Linked DNA regions of Cricetulus griseus. The main gene of each other region encodes a partner of the protein of the gene in region 2 in a complex. Links are inferred from orthologs where the notes say so. Each region holds a gene or a part of one and is shown on either strand. Other genes may lie near its edges.

Region 1 (3,655 bases), on a different chromosome or scaffold from region 2:
CACACCTCCTCTAACAAGGACACACCTCCTAATCCTTCTCAAACATTTCCACTCCTTGATGACTAAGCATTCAAATATGTGAGCCTATGATGGCCAGTCTCATTCAAACCAGCACAAGGACATATTAATGAATGTTGTCATAACTCAGGTACACTGACTGGTAGCCCAATTTTGTAATGCTTCTGTTCCCTCTTTATGTATTCATTTACCACATGCACATAAATTCATAAGCACATCCCTTTTTCCACATGTTCCTCTAGTGTAAATACATTATACCTAGTCCATTATACCTATACCAGTGCCTCTGGGCACTGTTTTTCTTTTTATTTTCTAAGTTTTCTTCTTATATATATTGAAGTGAGTAGCTGAGATTTCTTTTATGAATAGAAGATAATGAGGTGTGTATAATGAACATAACCATCTTCATTAAAGGAGAATATCAGAGAGATTCCTTCATTGTAATGAACACCAGCCTCACATAATATAAATGGAGACCAAGAGAGACATCTGGATTTCCATCCAACTTGGTAGTACCTGGGCACTCTGCTCCTGTCCACTGGAATGGGGTTAGAAGAAGGTATACAATAAGTCAGAGCTTTTAAACATTGGCCAAAGGCAATGAGTTCACCCTTACCCTCTGCTGTCTGGACAACAAATACATCAGCAATGAGGAAATCCTAACAAAGAACCCATGGGTGCATGCATAGAGACTTAAGATACAGCGCCCCTCCGTGATCATCCCGAGTACTCCTGGCCATAGCAGTGCATTGTGGGGATGTGTCAATGAGTAATTAAAATGCCCCAAAGAAACTGAAAGACTGAGGATACAGTTCAGAGGGAGAGTGTTTGTGTTGATGTACAAGACTTAGGGTTCAGACTGAATAAATAAATGAATAAATATTTCTCTTCAGAGAAGTGAAAAATTCATCAAAAGTAAAGAAAAATAGATATAAATTAAATGGAACTTCTAAAAGAAAACAAGTAAAACAAAAACACAGCATATGAGATAAATAGAATTGAGGACAGTAAAGAAGAAATAAATACACTTGTCAATAGACTAATTGGATAATTGCAACAGAAAGTAAGTTTGTTGCTTCCCCCCACTCCACTCCTCAGAGAGGTAAGCCTTCCCAGGGGAAGTCAACAAAGTCTGGCATATCACTGTAAGCCTGGACCAGGGCCTTCCTTCCTATACCTAGGCTGAGCAAGGTATCCCTCCAAAAAGAATGGGCTCCAAAGCCAGTTTAAGAACTAGGGATAAATCCTGGCCCCACTGCCAGTGGCCCCACAGACTGTCCAAGTCACACAACTTTTACCCACATCTAGAGGGCCTAGTTTGATCCTGCTTTTTAACTTGTCTGTCTCAGGTAATTGATGGTCCATATAAGTCCATCTCAATCCCCACTAGTCCCACTGTCTCCATCTCATACCTTAATTGAAAATAACAGAGATGATAGACCAATGTGTTCTTGCAACTTTGGCAAAAGGCTAAACATGCTTGTGTTCTCAGCTCACACTGAAAAGGTGTATTTGATATACCTACTTGTGCAAATGGATTTAGTATCATTTACATGAGTTTGTTGGACTCTGTTGTTAATGATTTTATAATCTTCACTATACTCATGTTATACATTTTCAAGTATGTAGTTAAGAAAATACCCTCTATGATTAGCCAATTTCATTTATACTTTGCTTTATTATAATGATGTAAAACTCTTTAAAGGCAGGCTAATATTTCAAGCTTATACAATTAATTGCTTAGTTGACTTACTGTGTTCTAATGTGTCATTTAGGGAAGATAAGTTCTCAGTTAAGTTGGGCTCAATGTCATTCATTAACATTTAAAATTATTTTTATTATATTGATCAGGTGTGTCCGCTGTGAACCAACGTTCGTGAATACCAGCCGGTCTTGTACATGTTCAGAGCCTCACATTTTAGTAAGGACAAACAAGGGGATGAAGTACATATTTTTAATTCAATACATAATAATACTTTTCTATAATTAGATATTTTTCTCTTATTAATTTGTGAAGACAGGTGGATTATGTTTCAGCAACACAGGGAATTTTCGACAACGTGTGATTTCCACGGCACGTTACGGAGAGCTTGTGAGTGTTTTGGGGTTCTTTTTTGATTGACCAAGCTTGTCTTGCATTTCTTCCTTTGATTAATTTCAGACAAACTGAGAAAGCTTTATGTGTAAATGACTTTAAAATACAAATAGTTAAAACCATGAGTCTGACATCTCAGCAGTATATTTTAAAAGTGTACTCCTTCTCTTTACCTTCTCTCATCCCTTTAATTTACATGAATTTACTTTTTCATAATTAAAACTGAAATTGCCAGGCAATGATGATCCCACCTCTCAGGAGGTAGAAGTAGGTGGAACTTGTGAGCTCGAGGTCAGTCTGGTCTACAGAGTAAGTTCCAGAACAGCCAGAACTATGCAGAGAAGCCCTGTCTCAGTGGAGGAGAGGGGAGAAATAATTTTCAAAGAATCACAACGTTGTATTTTTCCTGAAATTTCCAGCTTTTAGAGGTTATGTTCTTTTTTGTTTTCCAGTTTGAGACAAGCCCTCTGTCTGTCCTTTTCTTTCATGAACTTGACAGTTCAGGTTCCAAGACTTCCCATCTGTGGGATAACTCCAGCCTGCATCTGTCCTGTGCCTCATCATAGTCAATGTGTGCTTGCTAGAAAACCATTAAAGAAAAAATGGTATACTCAACTCAGTGCTCTATGTCCTGTCAGACAGTGTACAATGTCTCTCCATGTCAGAGAGCATACAGTGACTGTCTGCCTGCCCCATCGCTGATACTGTCAATTTTGAACACCAGCTATGATGTTATTATGAGTACCTTAAACTCACCATTTCCTCCTTTGTAATTGAAGAGTGCTTTTTTAAAGAGAATTTCTCCTGTCCAAGGACTGTCTGAGCCTGACCCTGCTTAGCTTCTGAGATAGGTGCAGTCAGGGTGGTGAGGCCATAGATGGTGTGAGGAGAATTTCAAAGGCTATATATACTTTACTGAGTCTTAATGTACCATCTGATCTCCCTTTGTGATTCTTTCCTTTAACAGCCTTCCACATTTATTCACTGACACTGTTCATAAAGAACATTTGTGCATGTGTGAATATGTGTGTGTGAGCATAACTGTGCACGTGTATGTTTCCTAAAAAAGAAAATTTTGCTTACTGAAGAGATGAAAACAGTGCCTCATAATTGTATTTTAATGTATCTGATGGCTGTGATACCATTCTAGATTTGGTTGTATCTCCTCTGTTATCTGTAACTCACTCTTGTGTTCTCAGTTTTTGAGCTTTTGACCAGAGGTTTATACCTATATATAGTTCTCAGAATTCAGTTATGAAAACAGGTTTGATGACACACTTCTATAGTCCTAGTACTTGAAAGTGGAAGCAAGAGGATCAAGAGTTCAAGGTCAAAGTTGTCTATGTAGTGAGTTTGAGACCAATCTGGGCTGCATGAAACCTGTCTCCATAAAATAAACAAACAAAAACCATGTATGCCTGCCCTGGCCTGGCCTCCTGGAGTTTCTGGTTGCCTTTGGATAAATAAAGTAACTTTTGGTTTTAGAACATTCCAAAGGTTATTCTGATACTCTTCGGTGTACAAAGCACCATTTTGGAGATG
Region 2 (3,655 bases):
CTGCACCAACATGTTGTCTCTCTTCAAATTAGTGAGGCTACTGCTCTTGGTAAGTTGGAGTCAGTTACATCTAAACTCCAGAAGATGGAGGCCTACAATTTGCGCCTTGAGCAGAAACTGGATGAAAAAGAGCAGACTCTCTTCTATGCTCGCCTGGAAGGCAGAAACAGAGCAAAGCACCTGCGCCAAACTATTCAGTCTCTACGAAGACAGTTCAGTGGCGCTTTACCCTTGGCCCAGCAGGAAAAGTTCTCCAAAACAATGATTCAGCTGCAAAATGACAAACTGAAGATCATGCAAGAAATGAAAAATTCTCAACAAGAGCGCAGAAATATGGAAAATAAAACGATGGAGATGGAATTAAAATTAAAAGGCTTAGAAGAATTGATAAGTACTTTAAAGGATGCCAGGGGCGCCCAAAAGGTAAAACTTGATCTGAAACTCAGTATTTCTATGTTATGTAGTAATATTACTCTTAATTCATAGCTTCATGAAAAATATTCAACCTGCATTTAAAATACTAGTTGTAATTAGCTTAGATCTAACACAGTGGGAATTTGCACTTTCCTATGCAAGGATCTTTAGCAAAAATACTTTTATTGTGTGTGATAGCACAGAATCTTAAACATTCTAAGAAAGGTCAAATAAATGTTAAGTATAATAATTTAAATGACTTAATAGTTATCAGTTTATTTCTACTCCACAAATATTTTCTGTTTATTTGTTTTTCCATGTTTTTACTTATAGATCTTCCTTGTGTACACTTATAGTTTTCATAGATGTCCACATTTATGTTTTAAAGTTTAGTTTTTGCCATCATTTGGGAAGAATTAAATGGTAAATAATACCTTCTAGTTACATCCTTTTCTCTATGTAGAACAACTTAGAATTTCTTTTTTTTTTTTAATTTTCATTTATTGGACAGATTTCTCAAAATTTATTCTTTTATATGTTTATACAGTAGATTCTGGTCACACTTTATAGTAGCCTCTTCTTCCTCACCCCCACCACTTCATCCCATCGAATCCTTGTCCTGTGTTTCATGTGTTTTCATTTTCATTTTGTTACTGACTGAGCATGTGGGTGTGAGTGAGCAGCTGTGCCCTGGAACATGAGTGTGTCACCAGTGGCTACATCACTGTAGACAATGGTGGGAACTCAGAGCAGTACCAACGTGTCACTAAAAAACAAGTGACACTGAATGAAAAACTGAAAGGAAATGTTACTGATATCTGTTTATTCATTTAAAAATAATTTGAAGACTGTTTTATTTTAATATTGTACATATTTTAGAATAGTCTTTGGAAATTCTAAATAGCTTTGCCATATGTCTTGGCTATAGACTAACTTCTTTCATCTTATTACAGTTTGCCATTAATTTCAATTAAAACAATAATATAGCATTTATGTGTATATATAATTTAGGTAATCAATTGGCATGTGAAAATAGAAGAACTTCGCCTTCAGGAACTTAAGCTAAATCGAGAACTAGCCAAGGGTAAAGAAGAAATCAAATACTTGAACAATATCATCTCTGAATATGAGCAAACAATCAACAGTCTTGAGGAAGAAATTGTTCAGCAGAGCAAGGTTTCCTTCTCTTTTTACTTCTGTTCTTTTGTTAAGGCTATAAACATCAGGTCATTACATTTAAGCTGTATTGTTGTGATGAAATATAGCTCCTGTCATATTGAGAAACAAAATAACCTGTTTCTTGCTTCTTAAACTCCAAATGTGCAAATTGACTCAGTTGTAACAGAAGTCTTAAGCTTAAAACAAAACAAAAAGACAGTATGTCATCAAACTTACTAGTAAGTTAATTTTTATTTTGATAAGTTATTTGACTTCTTCAGGCAAGTTTCTGCCTGTTGTCATTGTTGATTTAGAACACAGCATGGGGTAGAAACAGTAGATGCTTGAGAGCCAGATGACACTCAGAAAACACATACTTGCCATAGAGACAGAGACTGTGTTCCCTGTGCTTAGGTCTGTCTTCTGTATCATAGATACTCATGTTCACACTGTCACTGCCTTAAGATCTTCACTCACATTTCTTCTTGCAGATGGAACTGCAAAGGCTCCTTGGTATTGAATAGTCAATTGTGCCATCAAAATTCCCTACATAGAGAGTACTTGCTTTCATTTTCTAGTGTTGGCCATCCTCTAGTGTCTTACATAATTGTTATTGCCTGTTTCTTACTTCCTGGGATATAAGTTCCTTGGTGACAGATGAGGTTTTGTTTATTGCTATGCTTATATTGCCCCAAATGGTGCTTGAAAAATACATGTTTGGAATGCATGGATGAATGGATTCATGACTAGATTGAAATTCTGACTTCATACCTGCCCACCTCTGTGATCTTAGGCAACTTGGCTTGACCTCCTAAGTTTGTATCTTTTCCTATGTAATAAGAGTGATAGTTGCCAAAAGATGAGGATTAAATAAGAAAATGTACATATACCTGTTACATGCTCAGTGTCACTGTGTATGGCCTAACCAAATGTCTTTTTTAGTTTCATGAAGAAAGACAAATGGCTTGGGATCAACGAGAAGTTGAGCTAGAACGCCAACTAGACCTTTTTGACCGTCAGCAAAATGAAATACTCAGTGCAGCACAAAAGGTATAAAAAATGACTAATTGTGTTTGCTGCTTCTTGGGATTAGGTATATTTTTAACTGTATGGTGCTTTAGGTGAATTGTCATGGGTTTCTTTGTTTATTAAAGAGAAGTAAAATTTAGCTCATGATTTTTTTTGACACATTTAAAAGATATAATATTGTTTTCTCAGTACTACACTGCTGTTTTTAAAGCATGTTATTTTTCAATAGTTTGAAGAGGCTACAGGATCAATGCCAGACCCCAGCTTGCCCCTTCCAAACCAACTCGAAATTGCTTTACACAAAATTAAGGAGAATATTCGAACAATTCTTAAAACACAAGCCACTTGCAAGTCACTAGAAGAGGTAATTGGAAGAATTTGTATTTTGATTGGTATATTATTGGGTATGGTTTCTGGAATTTTCTAAATAATATTTAGTAATGGCAATAAAGTATAAAATGTTAGATTTGTTCCTAGTTTCTCTCTTTTTCAGTTCTTATATACTATTTCTAATAGCTGACAATGAATAGTCCATACAGTTAATTTGTATTTACCATTCATTTGTTTACTGTATTCTGCTTTGGGAACACTAAACATAAAAGTGAGAACCAAGTGTAATTAAAAACATTTAATTGTAGCTTTCTGAACAGTATAGTACCTTCCCTTAACTGTTGTTTTCATTATTTATTTTTATTATTTGTTTTGTAGTTTGCATTGCATATCCTTTAGTTTCTTTGTTCATTTTATTTGTGAGTAGGTAAAGTTGAAGCAAATAGAGCTATTTAATCTATGTACAGAATTTGATTAATAGGTGGTCAAATCAGCTCATTAAATTATTTATAAAATAATATAAGATGAATATTATTTAAATTTTAGTTTATGTATAAACATTAGTAAGTGCACTTAAGAAAACTATATTGTGAGCCGGGCAGTGGTGGTGCACGCCTTTAGTCCCAGCACTTGGGAGGCAGAGGCAAGTGAATCTCTGTGAGTTCGAGACCAGCCTGGTCTACAAGAGCTAGTTCCAGGACAGGGCTCCAAAGCCACAGAGAAA

Evidence for each region. Proteins that work in one complex are often made in the same cells at the same time.
Region 1: Cep290 (region 2) and Tmem67 share a complex: the UniProt entries of both Homo sapiens proteins name them as parts of the tectonic-like complex. The link is inferred for Cricetulus griseus from reciprocal best matches to the Homo sapiens genes CEP290 and TMEM67.

What each region holds. Positions count from the first base shown.
Region 1 is NC_048595.1:126,333,717-126,337,371, reverse strand, and holds part of Tmem67 (meckelin), read left to right. Parts: intron 1-1,869; coding exon 1,870-1,939; intron 1,940-2,035; coding exon 2,036-2,110; intron 2,111-3,655. UniProt on the Homo sapiens protein: Required for ciliary structure and function. Part of the tectonic-like complex which is required for tissue-specific ciliogenesis and may regulate ciliary membrane composition.
Region 2 is NW_023276806.1:166,108,569-166,112,223, forward strand, and holds part of Cep290 (centrosomal protein of 290 kDa), read left to right. Parts: coding exon 1-423; intron 424-1,425; coding exon 1,426-1,590; intron 1,591-2,514; coding exon 2,515-2,622; intron 2,623-2,830; coding exon 2,831-2,965; intron 2,966-3,655. UniProt on the Homo sapiens protein: Involved in early and late steps in cilia formation. Its association with CCP110 is required for inhibition of primary cilia formation by CCP110.